2 linked regions of the Lepisosteus oculatus genome follow. The main gene of each other region encodes a partner of the protein of the gene in region 2 in a complex. Links are inferred from orthologs where the notes say so. Each region holds a gene or a part of one and is shown on either strand. Other genes may lie near its edges.

Region 1 (7,759 bases), on a different chromosome or scaffold from region 2:
GTGCATATACAGTACATATATTACTGTACCTCCTTTTTATCCCTGGACTTGTCAATTTCTTTTTTTAATATGTCGATTTTCTTAAAAGACTCCAGGCTGTCGACACTGTAGACCAGCACAAATCCATCGGCAAAGGAGAAATAGTGTTTTGGAAGATCAAGGCCATCCTGAAGCCCCTTGGTGTCATAGAGACGCAACTGCTCCTTCACTCCCCTGTCTGTTTCCACAGATGCTACATAGATGTCCTCCAGGGTTCCACTGGATTCTGACCCTTCAGAGGAAAAGAAAGATTTCTTATCGGTCATGATGATTATATAGCTAGTTTGATATACTGTAGTTATCAGATTTATAAAGTGTTCTCTGAATTTTAAGGTTTTTGCTGTTGATTTATGTTTATCAATGCTTTATATCAATGCTGTTATGCAGCACTTTTAAAGACATCCATTTCATCTAATTCCATATTTTATAAAATCACCCAAGTACAGAGTTTTGTGCCTTCTCTTTGGTCACTATCCTCGGGTAGTTTTAGTATTAAAATGTTTCCTATGAGGAGACTAAGTTGTTACACAGTGATGTTCATGAACATCAGAATTGGCAACTTCCAATTTCCACCACTGTAACAAAATGAAGAGTAGTAAATATTGTTTATTAAACAATATTGGACCACGAGCTCTCTTCAAACTTCACTCACTCATCGTCACAAGCAATTCGCATTAACAGCGAAGTTACTACTTTCTAGCCTGATCTCATCTATCAAATATCAGAAGGTGATCAAGGCTGGGTGTAGTCAGTTCAGGGATGGGAATCCTCTAAGGAAAACCAGTTTGCTACTGCATGTCGTGTTGGAATAGAATCTCCAGGGCAGTGCCCATTATGATGACTGGGGACACTGAGTTACAGGTGATGCCATTAAAGATTAAAGATTCTATGGCACAGTCTGAAGGAGAAATGGCGATAATCCAGGAGTCCTGAATAATTTCCTGCCTGGCTAACACAATACAACAGGTAAAGCAATGTCTCATTCCTGCTGCAGAATGGGGCTGCTGGGGCAGAATGGTTACAGGTCATCACCCAGGTGGGTGGATGGATGATGAGGCTCCATTCTACACAAAAGAGCTCTGGGAAGAAAAGTGCTACACAAATTCAAACAATTATAACTTAAATTAAAATTTCCAGTAAATCAGATCATTAAAAGCACACCATCTCAGGTTTTGGAAATAATTATTTATAGCGTGCTTGTCCCATTAGTTGGTAGCCATTTTGTGTCCTGTTGTCCCTGTGATGAGGACGGCTCAGAAGCTCTTGTTTTCCTGCTCCTCCTTCTCCTTGTGGCTGCTGGTCTCCATCATATGGTAATGATGGTGTGTCTTTTAAAGCCAGTTTTATAATTCCTTTGAACAAATAAATGGGTTCTGGTTTGTGAGGCAGCAGATAATCTTTTTATAATTATTCTGTTTTCTTCTCTACCTTATCTTTTATTTCTGAAGGGCATAGTGATGTCTGCATGCATTCCTGGTTTCAGATAAATTCCTTACTGAGGCCTGCACAAAAAGTACAGGCTACAGTAGTGTATACTTTAGCACACTGAGTGCTATGCTGGTGAACAATTTGTTGCAGTAAACAAACGGACATTATGTATTTTGCTACGTCTCAATCTAAACGTATTTGTCCAAATGTATGGTGATGTCCCCATGATGCTCTAGAGATCATGGTGTTCCATGTTAACAATTTCCAGGTTGGAGATAGGGGTTTCCTTTTCCCTAGTTACTTAAGCAAACCACAGCCACAAGGACACATTCAAGAAGCAAAACAGGTCTGGGGCACTTCAAAGCAAAACCACCATTTTGCTGGAATAACTCAGAGTTCATCAAGAGTGGATAAACACTGTTTTATGTGCAGTGTAGTAGATGTATATTGTATTTTTTTCCTTCTCATCATATGCCTATGTCTCTTATTTTTGAAGGGGTTTGTGATGTGTTAATTGTATAGTGTGCTGTGTGTTGAGTTTCCCACCTGGGTCAATAAAAGAATTCATGCACTGAGTATCATACATTGCATTGTGAAGCAAGGTAAAATAATTTCTATATACAGTATATATAGATACAATAGCAATTAGAAGTAAAACCTGGGGTTTCTTGTTACTATACTTTCCCATGTATTGTATTCAGACACTATCAGATATCTCCCAAGGTTTATTTCTTCTGCTCTGCCCAGCTGGGTAGAGTTAAGTTCGCACACCTGAAACAAACTCCTTCGTTAGCGCAGTGTTCATACCAATTCGGTGTTTAAAGTACTGATTAAAATGTTAAAATCATATCTACGATACAAAATTGTGTTAAAATCATATCTACGATACAAAATTGAATCAATTTTGAATTGTAGATAGGATTTCAACATTTTAATCAGTACTTTAAACACCAAATCGGTATGAACGCTGCTCTAACGAAGGAGTTTGCTTCTTGATTGTAAACTTGCCAGATCCGAAACCATGAATCCGAAACCATGAAAACCTCTGCTATAAACTATAATGCTGTCTTGGAAAACGGGAAACGATTAACTCCTGTGTCAATACTGAGGTGCACAGTCTTGGCTTTTAATTATCCTGTTACATGCACTCGTTTTGATTGAGCTGGCAAGCTACTTATCACACCTAAAAAAAAAAAACTTACCCACAATATGATTTCCATACAGCAGTTGCTCCAGAATGGCCGTCTTCCCCACAGCTGCCAACCCGCAGACCACAACTTTACATCCTTTACCCATTTGGTTTTAAAAACCTGGAGAGTTCGTGGAAATGAAACGAGGGAAAACTAAACCGCCTCAATCAAAATAACTACGAGAAGCAGTTCGGAATGCAGCGCCACAGGAGCGGTCTATGTCATTAGGGATTTTTCTAAAAATATAAGCTACTACAGTATATAGACATGCGTGTAGCTCCGCTTTAAAGTTTCAGGCTAAATTCAACGCTCCTGCACAATTTAGCAAAGAAACAAACTGAACCGACATCACATCCAGTTATTTCTTGTAGTTCAACAATAATACATTCAATGATAAACCGGTCACCTCTGCAGCAAAGGCGACAACTTGACAGGAAGCTCTACAGTAGAGAGCTGCGCAGGTCCGCTCGTACACTTAAACACAGGTGAATAATCAGGGGAATAATCAAGTTAATTATTGTTCTCGGAGTTTCTTATCTTTATCATTTATTGTTTTAGCTAAAGGTAATAGATGGTGGTGGTTACATTACCTGTAAAGCGCTTTTAGTTAGTGTCCAGAAAAGCGCTATATAAGTGTAAGCAATTTTTATTATTATTATTATTATTATTATTATTATTATTATTATTATTAGATATATATAAATATTAACAGAAGCGAAGTATGGATATTCACCCTGGTGGTATTGGTTGGCGGATTCAAAATAGCATTAGAAAGCTTTGCCGTCCTTGAAAGAGGTCTCAGTTTACGCTTTACATAAGTACAATTGATGTCTGTAGGAAAATACTACATGTTTTTGATCATTAATATATCGGTACCGATTTCTACACCGGTAACTGAGAACTTGAAAGCTTTCATGGGAAAGAATAAGGGTTCTTAAATAACTCAATTGCCTAAATTTGTAATGATGTCAGCCGCATCTTCTTAAACAAAAATGTATATTTAAAAGGAATAATTAACATTAATCCAGAAGATTGGAGGACATAAATTGAAATAAGAAGTTTTGAAACAGAAAGTACTTGACATGCCTCTTGACATAAAGAGTTGTGCGGGGTTGGGTCAAACAATTTAATTGTTGTGTAAGAAGAGAACCGATACTTAAAACACCTATGCGATGCTGGATCAGCAAGTGTTTGCAAACAGAAAAGACACATAATTCTTAGGTTTCTCATGCTCGCTCCTAACTCTTCAGTACAGACTTCCAGAGTTCGCTGCGGGAATAATGGAAATGAATGAGGCCCAACATACCATACAAGTACAACCTAAATAATTGTAAAGAAACATATATATATAACCCTAAATTGCGTTCTATTTCCTGTAGGGAGTGCTTGCAATATTCTGAAACAATATTTTGTTGCTTCCAGCCAAAACATCATCCTAATTCCAAGGTACTGTTCACTACATTTCCCAAGCACCCTTGCGTTGTCGCATCAACTTCCGCCGGTAGATTTTCATAAAGCATGATGGGATAGCTCCCTCTTCCTTTCCGGCTGGTACGCCATCATGTAAGGAGATTGTGTTTGGTTATTCTGTATGTGCAATCCACATAGAATCCGTAATAAAATCTTATCATCGGGTCGAAATAAGTTGAAGTTAAAGTGTAGAGTTTATAAATGTTTTGGTACTACCGTTATTGAAGTGTAACAGTGGATAAAGAGAGAGTTATTTGCGATTGAAGTTTGGGAAAAGGTGCAGGGTACGTGTAGACAGCCATTGAGTGAAATGGTGCTCTACAACGTGACTTTTCGTTCGGATACATAGTATTTATTCACCGGCTTTACAGCCACATGAGATCGGGTGAATATAACGAATATGTAATCATTTGAGAAGGCCAACGTTGTTAAAATGTAGTTGTAAAGTGTATGTGCGGTTGGTCGCATTGGCTTGCGGGTACCATGATTCTTTCAAAGTGTGTTAAGGAAAATAAAGAGAAAGAAACCCTATTAAAGGGTTTATAGTTACCCCTGGTTTCGATCTAAAGCGTGAGACCGTAAGGTGCTTTTCTTCTTTCCTGGTGGTTTTCAAGCCGGGAAGCAGCCTCAGAAAATGTCGGATGAGTGTAGAAACTCGGGACAGGCTTGACACAGACTTGACTGCTCTTCTTGTCCGCTTAGACCAAAATGGGAGCGTACAAGTACATGCAGGAGCTATGGAGGAAGAAGCAGTCCGACGTGATGCGCTTCTTGCTGCGCGTCCGCTGCTGGCAGTACCGCCAGCTGTCTGCCCTCCACCGCGCTCCCCGACCCACCAGGCCCGACAAGGCCCGCAGGCTCGGGTACAAGGCGAAGCAAGGTACGTACGCGATCGCCCGCCGAGCCGGTGGCCGTGTGTAGAAATCCTCTTCCCGATCTGTGTGGTCCTGCACCAGTAGGTATGCAATTGGTGCGGTGGCTCACAGCGTTGGTGAATGATGCACGTAGCGGCACAGGTTTTGTATTGCTAAACGGGTAGCTGGTAGACGGCTTTCGTACTCTGTGAACCAAATCTGCATTTAAACAAAATGAAGTCTTCTCCTGATTTCCTAAGCCTATTTTGTCGAAAAATGTCAACGTGTATAATTGATGGGAGTTCTACCCCCTTTGAAATGTAGCATCTTCTTGTGCACTCTTCTGGATGTTTACAGCAATAATTTGGACGAATGGGTTTATGGAAAAGATTTCACATGCTTTGGGATTCTGTCTGCCAAGTTAAAGCAAAGATCAAGTAGATGCATTTTATCCTGTACCTGTATGAAGAGAATAGTTTGGTATTTTCTGTTTTGCTATTGATTTGATTCCAAGTGACATATACTCATTTTCTGAACACCTTCCTAAAGCCATGTGAGTAAAATGTCTTGCAAAGTGTATAGCACTGTCCCCCCAAGGATATGCATCTACTACCTTCAAGTTTTCAGTCCAGAGCCCTGTCACTCCACACTTGTACATAATGAGCAGTAGTAAGTACAGTACAGCACATCACAGGGCAGGAAATGGGACTCAATAGTCAAAATGTGGCATTGGACTAGATCATGGGATCAGCAGTTATACGATCACTTTATTAGCCATATACAATTTCTTGCATTAGGAATTTCTCTTTTGCTTGCTCTCCATGAGAGACAGAGAGAAGCTTGGGGTCAGAGCGCAGGGTCAGCCATTGTACAGCGCCCCTGGAGCAGTTGGGGTTATGGGCCTTGCCTAGTTTTTAGGAGGCTTCAGAAAGTAGAAGGGGGGTGCATTTTAATTTTTTTTCTGGGAATAGTTTGTGGTTTAAGGTGGGGTGCAGAAGAGGAGGGTTTGATGCATGTAAGAGCATCTCAGAATCAACCAGGAGATGGGAGGAGAAGAGCAGTGAAGGCAACAGTAAACCTTAGAGGAGTCTTGCGCCCAAGGCAGTAGCAAAGTGGGGTGCTCCTGTGTGATCTCGGGATTCTTTTTCTTGCAGGTTACGTCATCTACCGGGTGCGAGTGCGCCGCGGTGGTCGCAAGAAGCCTGTGCCCAAGGGAGCCACCTACGGCAAACCCGTGCATCACGGTGTTAACCAGATCAAGTTTGCCCGCAGCTTGCAGTCTGTGGCTGAGGTTCGTAAACATTCCCAGCCCTCTTCTGTCTTGGCAAGATATTGCCGAAACCGGTGATTTCTAGGTTTGAGCTTAATTCCTGAAGTGCTGCAGCTGATTTGCATCAGTCTATTTATATTTCAGTTGTAAAACTGAGCTACCCAACCTACACTACTCCTGGATTTCTGAACACTGTGGTCAGTCCCACTCCATCCTTGACTAGATGTTTAAAGTTGCCAACAATCAAGTTTGAAATATATGATGGATGAAAAAACACTCATTACATCAGTCACAGCTTACATCCAAACAGTTACATCAAGGGAATTCTCCATTTTGGTGAAAGCATGCGATAATGTACACCTGTTATGATGTAATGAGCAAAGAATGAAAAATGAAATTACCTATAGATGTGAATATTTGTATTAAAGGAGATGGCAAAAGAAAATATTCAGGTGTTGGATGTTGGAACATTCTGTATAGGCTTTTGAAACCGCAATACCTGTTCTCCTAGGTGTAGCAGTAATATTTTGAGATGTCGGTCTCATTCTGTTGACATTTGTTTGGCTGCACCTTCATGCACAAGGCATATTGCTGTGAAAATATTTCAGATGGAGGTATACAGTAGCTCACTCCTTTCCAGCTCCATAGTGATTTCATTGGAAAAAAAAATAAATCAGTGTTTAGGTTGCACTTTAACGATAGATTGGATAAGCTGTTTTATGTAGCCATGAGGGGTTGACATTGTGTATATATACAGTATTAATCTTTCTTTTGTTATTCTGGTAAACCTGTAATGTTCAGTTTGAAGAATGTTTCCAGTGAAATTGAGGACAGTATAACCAGAGTGTAATGTTTAAACTAGTGAAATTCAGGCATTTCATTCTGAAGAGTGATTCATTCCATTTTCCAATATGCTGTTTTGGGTTTATGCAGGAAATGCAAGAACTCAGTTGCTTTAGGTAATGGGTTACAGTAAATGAAAAATGCACATTAAAAATCCATTTTAACCCTTTGGTGACTGTTTTGGTGTTTATCATCGTTTCATTTTGAAAATTCAGTAGTCTTCATTGTCTGTTAAGATCTTGTCATTGCTTCAAGTTCAGATTTCTGTGAGCAACAGTGTAGTTGTGTACCAACAGAACTGAAGTTCATTGCATAGTGGAGATCATAGTGTCCAGTGTAGCACATGGTGATAGTGTTAAGTAGCTCAATGTGCATCTCTGTTTTCCTTCACCTGGCTATAGTTAGTGCTTTTGCCTGTTTAACAACAGTTAACCAGTGCAAGCAAAAACTTACATTTCGCAGTACTTGTTTTATAGAACTGTATTCTAATGTGTACCCTTCGTTCCACTTCAGCGAACCCCTTGGTAACTGTAATCCAAAATGGTTTAGCTGAAAAGGCACAATTGCCACCGTGCTTAATGTAGGCCGACTTTTACTTTTTAAACTAAAGGCATTGTTATTGTACCAGTCACTTTAACATTCATTGACAGAACTGACGATTTAAT
Region 2 (7,969 bases):
TCACTCACTCTGCTTTCCTGTACACTGCACAGGGAACTAAAAGTGGGGAAAATCTATTGTTTATGAAACTGCAGTTTTTTTTTTACTGAAGTGAAACACCCATTTACAACATTAAAGAAGGGGACAAACAGTGAACATGGAAATAATTGCATTACTGGCCATCACTTTCAATGCCACATGAGCAGAAGAAAACGTTTAGATGTCAGGGGTTATCAAAACATACTACCTGATTAAAAAAAGCTAAGGAGTCACTTAGGATCATGCACAAATAAAATAGAGCTCTCCTACATTCCTTTGTGCCGGACAATAAATAGCTGTTTGGGGGTGTTAAGAAATACAGCAACCTACTGTAACTACTGTACTAACAATGAATTCTGTAAGTTTTACAATGTACTTTCATTTAGGATGTTCTGCTATTTTAAACTTTCCCTTCCAAAGCGCACTGACGCACTACAGATCAGGGTGAAAGGTTACAGGATATCACAACAGAAAAGGTTACCTATTGTAAAATACTAGCATTTGAGCATGTACTTCATTCTGTACTGAAATAAAACAGGGGCAAATATGGTTCATATACAGAAGATGTTACATACACTGTATCAACTCCTGTCCACTTGAGTGCAATTCAAGTCATAACATTCCACTATACAGCCAATTTAGTGAGTCCTACACGCAAGATAATGGATGTTTGTCTGCCAGCAGTACCAAGCTGGCAACCCTGACTTAACACACTGGTAGTATTTACACAGGGAGCTAGCAGCTGAGCAGTGAAAAATGTCTAAGGCCGATGTACCTCACAGTACCACCAAGAGCCCCAGTAAGCAGGAATCTAGTGTGGATAGCTACAGACAGACTGACCTCCTCAGATTTTGAACCTCACTGCATTCCCCTGACTTCATGCAATTAAGAAATAGTCTGGGCTGAAGCTAAAAATCAAAGAAAATTAAATTAACTGCCAGTCTTCAGTGCTCTGTCTCCTACAAGAAAATTAAACAATGATCAGGTTTCACCAGAGAGGTTAAATTAGGAATATGCTTCCCAAACTGTGGCAAATCACATGGAAAAACACAAACCTGGTGGTTTCACTATATAGAAAATTTAAAAGAACATACATTATAATTCAATCCATAAATAAACAAGTTAAAGTTTGTTTGGAAAGTGCTTCACTAATAATTGCATGTTTTGTTTCAAAAAACAAAATCAAAGTGCACTATTTAATGGTAACAGGCACTATTTGTAGGTGAAACTACAGCAAATGTACAATGTATTTCTATTATAAAGTAAAATCTAGCCCATTGTTGTCATATTTTAATGGTGTTGTGAAGAGCAATTATTCAGACAGTCTGAAGTACTGTCTGTACTATACAAATTAGGTCAAATCAAAGCACCTCCAGCATAATTTTAAAACACTGCTATTGCTTAGAATTTCCTCCTGGAAAAGCTATGAGACGTAGCATATACAGTATATCATTACTTTACAGTAATTTTTCAGACAGCACATGCTTAATATGACATTCAACTGCTAAACAGGCACATTTGAGCTCCAGACAGCAGTTTATTTAACTACCTTCCACAAAGGAAGTTCAAGATTCAGGAACTCGAGATATCAACCCCCACCCCTCTTTGACAACAGAGTGGGAGCTTATCAAAAAGACTCCCAGCTAAACTCCCTAAAAGAATACAGGAGAAAAGCAGGACGGTGAGAACCAACTGAAAAACAACTTTATTTTCTGCTTTTTAAAAATGTATCCGAAGACATCCTGACAAAAGTCGGCAAAATGACCTCTTACGAGGCAGGTATATACTGTATGTATTCCTAACCCGAAGCGCACCGCTCTGTAGTATAGAGAGTTATGCACATTTTTATACATGTATTTGTATTTTTAAAGCTAAATGGCACCCAAGAAAAGTCAATATCGACAAAATAAAATAACACAAATCTTGTGCAAGATTCAGGATGACAATGTTTAGCAATCATGCAACTACTTTCCCTACAGGCAGTGCTGTACCAATGTCACAATAAATACCCAACGCTCCTGCCTGCTCTCGTTTTAACGAGGGTGGCTTATTTTTCCGTTGTTACTGCTAGTGGGTGAATTCAGAGAGGAGACCTTGATCACATTTAAACATGCCAATTGACGTTTTAGTGGCTTGCTCGCCGTGAGGGGAAAATTGAATTGCACTGAATTCCTGTATTGCGGCACCACTGGGATCCAGTGAGTTTCCCCATTGAATGAGCTGCGTGCTGGTGCGGCTGTCACGGATGACAAGGTTAGCTTAATCCTAACGTCAAACCTGCGGCACCGGCTCGACTCAGGTAAATCGGCAACAACAGCCGCGAAATTCGCACAGTAAGGAAGTACAAAGCAGGCATTGTATTACAGAAAAAAAAAACCTCCGTTGTGTTTTTTTTTTTACTCGCTTAAACAATTCAGTACGTTCAGCACAACAGAAGTCCGAATGCAGACGTGGTTTAGCAGCGTAACAAAACACCAAAATCCTCTTCGGTGAACAGACAAATAGGAGCGGCTATATCAATTTGTGTTATCCCCAAACGAGCACAGAGGACAAACACGGGGGGATGCACCGCTGACTGTGGACGGGTGATCCCAGATGGAGCTGTCCTCTTACCTAGCAGTGACCGAAGGTGCTTGAGTCGGGTCAACACATCCTTCTTTGGGTCCAGAACTTTCTGTGAAGATTTCTTGACGTCTCCATGGCTCCTTCGAGAAAACATTCCGCTATAGAAGGAAATGTTGAAAGCTGCGGTTTCCTCCTTTATACCATACAGCCCCTCTCTGTATCACTTTCTCTCCCCCCTTCCACTCCTCCTCCTCCCCTTTCAGCTGTCGTGCCTGGCTTGCAAACCGACGCTGTGCGCCAGTCTCCTCCTTTCGTGGGAGTGTAAACACGGAGCGTGCCGTGCGTGGGGACGTCTCCGTGTCCTGCGCTCCAGAAGGGCATCGCCGCCGCTTCTTCATCTTCTTGTGCGGAAGTGAAGGACGGCGCGACCAGCAGCCGAAGAGCGCTTTTCCTCTCGCAAGTGGGGGGAATACGGAGACGGTCCGTGCTTAGGACAGTCGTCCGAAAATGCATTGCTGTTTGTCGTTTCCGTCTTTGCCGTTTTCTTTGATAAAACGACGCGAGAAACACGAATACTAGGAAGTGAATACTAAACACACGCATGTGGGTACTGTGTGTATTCGTATATGCTCGCTGCTTTTAAAACTGCAACATGGAGCAGTACAATGCACTGCAGGCTACTTACTGCATGGGCTCAGTGTAACAATGCTTGGAAGTACAGTATGTGTTACACAATTACAAGAATTTGTTCAGCCTCGAATGTTGCTCCCTTGGGGAGGTGTTTCTCATGGTCACACAAACGAGTGTAACACATTACATTATACTGTATATAAGCTTTAGCAGCTTGTAGCATAATCTCTTCAGATCTCAGAAGCTACTGTACTGTATGTAGGGCTGGGCCTAGCCAGGACCTCTAAGGAAAACCTAGTAGCTGCTATAAGCGGTATGTGTTTGTGGACCAGAAGGTGGCGCTCTTCTCTCTGTGCCAGAATGTCCCATCCATTGCCCGGCACGGTGACCGAGGGTACTGTTCTGTGAAGATTTCTTGCTTATGTGACGTGTTCATTAAAGAGTCCATGACACTGTGCATAAAAATATTGGTGTTGTGGCTAACATCCGCTTTAGAATATGACCTGCCTAAAAGTTCCCTCTTAATGTGTGTGTTTTATTTACAAAACATATTGATTTTATACGTTTCCCAAGAATAACAAATGAGATACTTACATAGAATAATGATTCAGCTACAATGACTCATGTTCAATAAATATTTTTTTATGTTTGTTGATACTAAAAAAAGCATGTTTTTTTTTTTCATTCAGGCAAATTGAAACAGAGTGGTCACCTTGAATGTAGCCTAGATTAAATTGTTTTACAAGCACACATATCACATCTGGCTCTTTTGGAAGACATATTTTGTAGTCCTGCCAAGCCAGAAGCTCAGATTCAGAGTTTATAGACTTTTTATACTGGTGGGAATTTTTATGGGACAGGCCATTAAAGGTTAATATACAGGCAACAGAAAGATTCAGCAACCCGTAACTGAATCTGGCATGTCACAGAAGATGTCACCACTTCAAACAGAATCTAGAGACCATTTATAGAATATAAAAGTTTAAATGAATACAGACTTTTCTTGGATATATAAACTTTTCTATTTCCTTACACTCTGCATTTATTAAAAGTATAGATGGAGTCTTCAGATCTCATCTCATCCAGTGGACAGCAGCTCCTACAGGATACAGTATATTAATGTTTGGTTACAGCCATGGTTGACTGATCTCATTGGAAACGCTTGAGTTTTGTATCTCGGCAGTTTTCTCAAAATTTTTAAAGAGCCCCCGTAGTCTCCTCCTCTATTTAAGACTGCTAATCAGGAATATGCATACTGTTACTTTATCTTGTGTTACTGGCAATGTATAATAAAAAAACATTTGGGTACTCAGGAAATTGACACACGTAAAGCAATTGACAAACATAAATACAAAGTCATGGCTTTTTGTTGAACAAAATTATTTGACAATTTTATGCAATATGGTGAATTTTAATTAAGAAACTTGTAGGCCAGGATGTCTCCAGCATATGAATTAGATCCCAACTGTTGAACAGCAAAAAAAAAGTAAAACACTTAATAATGAATGCACTTTTAACAGTGTGTTACAAAGGGAATTTCTATTTCTGAGTCAGATAGGAAAACAACTGTGATGTGTGAAGGTTTTATAAATCAACACATTGTGGGCACCAAGTCTGATATTAAGAATCAGTTCAAGGCTACAAGTCTTATATTAAGAATCAATTACAAACAAAAAAGGACAGGTTGTGCCTTCAATTGAAAAGCAGTGGCGATAATCAGTTCTTCTGTAAGCCAGAACCTGGAGAGAGAGATCTTAACAGAACCACTGCTGAAAGTACTTGTGCCTACCATCTAGTAAAAAACAATCAGCGCTTTTGGGTCAATAGACACTGATTTAAAAATTATGCGATGAGAAGGTTTACTGTGCTAACACCAAAATAATAATCTCTGATGTGATGGCACATCTTGAAACAGAAGAAGTTAAAAGCAACAGGAGCAAGAGTCAGGGTAAAGTATTTCTGTTGTGACTGATGCTTCAGAAACCAGAAAAATATGAACTGGCAACACAGTGAAGCTCAGCAGGTGTGAGCCTGGTCAGTACCTGGATGGGAGAGAGACCTTCTGGGAAAAACTAAGGTTGCTGCTGGAAGAGGTATTAGTGGGGGGTCAGATGGGGGCGCTCGACCTGTGAAGGGGACACTATACTGTAAAAAGGCGTCGGATGAGACGTAAAACCGAGGTCCTGCCTCTCTGTGGTCATTAAAAATACCAGGGTGTTTCTCGAAAGGAGTAGGGGTGTAACCCCTGCGTCCCAGCTAAGTTTCCCCCTGGCCTTGGGTTGTTCATCTCTGATGAAATGTAGGGTTTGAAGACTTTTTAGTGTTTAAGGATACTGTCAGTTTGTTGTCAGAATTCTGTGAGTGATATGAACAGTGGAACCCACACTAATTGTGCTATTCCTTTTATTTGCTTCAATAAGTTCTCAAATGATGTTTCTCCATCCTTTCCAGAATATTTATAAATAATGCAACTGGTCTCATCAATTATTTAGCTTTTTTATTATTTGATCACCCTACACATGATACAATCTTTGAATCAGTTTTGTTTGGTGGATCAAAGGCAACACCAAGGTTTACAGTATATACATACAGTATATGACTAAGCTAAATAACACAGTCCCTTTCATTTTAACAGCTTTCTTACTGGGTGCTACATTTTCAATCTGAATGTTTTTTTTGTTTCAGTCTTCACATTCAGTTTGATGAAAGTACTGTAGCACTTAAACATTTCAAACATTTTAAAAAGTGCTAAAAAGTTAGTTGTTTTACTGTTGAGTGTTAGCTGAGATTAGATAAACAACTTACAAATCACATGGATATCTAACTAAATATGCAGGATCCCACCTGAGTGGAGACCAGATAGTACAAAAAGGAAAACACTGGTGAAAGGGCCATTAGAGAGCTGGGACCACAGCCCAGTGTACATTGAAGTAAATTTTGAAACGTGCAGTCCAAAACAAAGATTTAGGGCTGTTTCAGGACTGCACACTATGAAGGAAAGACTTATTAAAGGACATAAAAAGGGCTTCAGCAGAACTGAAACCAGTAGAAAATGGCAAATGGCATTTTAATTATGTTTTACCTAATGCACAGAATCTATAATAATAATAATAATAATAATAATAATTGCTTACACTTATATAGCACTTTTCTGGACACTCCACTCAAAGCGCTTTTACAGGTAATGGGGACTCCCCTCCACCACCACCAATGTGCAGCCCCACCTGGATGATGCGATGGCAGCCATAGTGCACCAGAACGCTCACCACACATCAGCTCTCAGTGGGGAGGAGAGCAGAGTAATGAAGCCAATTCATAGATGGGGATTATTAGGTGGCCATGATTGGTAAGGGACAATGGGAAATTTGGCCAGGACACTGGGGTTACACCCTTACTCTTTTCAAGAAACGCCCTGGGATTTTTAATGACCGCAGAGAGTCAGGACCTTGGTTTTACGTCTCATCTGAAGGACGGCGCTTATTTACAGTATAGTGTCCCCATCACTATACTGGTTATTAGGACCCACAGGACCCAGGTGAGCACCCCCTGCTGGCCCCACTAACACCTCTTCCAGCAGCAACCTTAGTTTTTCCCAGGAGGTCTCCCATCCAGGTACTGACCAGGCTCACACCTGCTGAGCTTCAGTGGGTTGCCAGTTGTGAGTTGCAGGGTGATATGGCTGCTATTAATCCCAAAGGTGAGCAAAGAAAGATCTAGAAAGCGATGGCTGAAAAATTTAAGAAGAAAATGTTTTGTACTCAATGGTCTTGATTGTTTGCCACTCATACTTTTTGGTTTGGGGAGCATGTCAAAATCTGATGCCCAGAGAAGGTCACGGTAAAGATCGTGCTCAGTTGACACCCCAGGTAGGGTGAGGGTAACTATTCACACGCTTCTTAGACAAATTTAAGATCAGCGGTGGATTTTGGGGCCCAAGTCAGGTTTAGGACAAGTGGTTTTTTGCTCCTATCTGAAATTATTTTCAAAAACTCCCTGGAACCTGCATGGCATGGTACACTGTGAGGTAATTGTATCCCAAAACTGAGTTGGTCAGATTAAAATTTGTAACCAAGCATTACTGAATCTCATTCCCTTGCAGGGGCTTTAATCAACAGTCTTGGTTATTTCTCACTCACAATTTTTGGTTGGAGAAGAAATCAAAATCAGATGCCCAGAGAGGCTCAGGTATAGATCGCGGAAATGCTCAATTGGTACCCAAGGTATGGTTAGGGTTAGCAATCACACACTATTGAGACAAGTTTTAAAATCAGTGCTGTTATTTTTGGCCCAAGCCAGGTTTGGGATGGGTGGATTTATAGAGTTATCTGAGAACTTTTTTTCAGAAACTCTCTGGGGCCTGGATGGTGGCGTGCACAGCATGGTAATTTTATGCCGAAAGTTAAACTTTGGGATAAAAAGTTTTCAACAAGCATTATAGAATATCATTTAATTGCAAGAGATAAGACCAACGTTCTCGATTGTTTCCTACTCATACCTTTAGGTTTGGGGAACATGTCAAACTTGATACCCAGAGAGGCTCAAGTTTAGATAACTGAAATGCTCAGTAGGAACCAGTGGTAGGGTTAGGGTTAGCATTCACACACTACTGAGACAATTAAGCAGTTAAGCTCAGTGCTGTGATTTTTGACCCAAGCCAAGTTTAGGATGGGTGGTTCTGAAGTTCTATCTGAATTTTTTTTTTCCACAAACTCTCTGGGGCCTGGGAGGCATGGGGTGCCACAAAGTAGTTGTATCC

Evidence for each region.
Region 1: the proteins of ralgapa2 (region 2) and nkiras1 are in contact, whole or in part, in a crystal structure (PDB 9QU1), measured with the Homo sapiens proteins. The link is inferred for Lepisosteus oculatus from reciprocal best matches to the Homo sapiens genes RALGAPA2 and NKIRAS1. Residues at the interface, in NP_065076.2 of Homo sapiens: Pro20, Lys21, Tyr51, Ser52, Gln53, Phe56, Tyr59, Glu60, Ile63, Arg99, Phe102, Arg103, Trp104, His105, Tyr106, Gln107, Ser108, Lys185, Ile186, Tyr187, Pro188, Glu189; in NP_001364280.1 of Homo sapiens: Lys6, Glu22, Leu24, Leu25, Tyr26, Glu34, Met39, Glu40, Asp41, Val42, Tyr43, Met44, Ala45, Ser46, Val47, Glu48, Lys54, Gln56, His58, Tyr60, His74, Tyr75, Ser77, Phe78, Lys108, Thr162.

The regions. Positions count from the first base shown.
Region 1 is NC_090705.1:30,823,181-30,830,939, forward strand, and holds the start of nkiras1 (NF-kappa-B inhibitor-interacting Ras-like protein 1), read right to left. Parts: upstream 3,130-7,759; 5' UTR 3,064-3,129; intron 2,778-3,063; 5' UTR 2,764-2,777; coding exon 2,670-2,763; intron 272-2,669; coding exon 30-271; intron 1-29. Other genes in the region: rpl15 (large ribosomal subunit protein eL15), read left to right, coding at 4,836-5,007, 6,136-6,272. UniProt on the Homo sapiens protein: Atypical Ras-like protein that acts as a potent regulator of NF-kappa-B activity by preventing the degradation of NF-kappa-B inhibitor beta (NFKBIB) by most signals, explaining why NFKBIB is more resistant to degradation.
Region 2 is NC_090697.1:10,026,847-10,034,815, forward strand, and holds the start of ralgapa2 (ral GTPase-activating protein subunit alpha-2), read right to left. Parts: upstream 3,061-7,969; 5' UTR 2,738-3,060; coding exon 2,632-2,737; intron 1-2,631.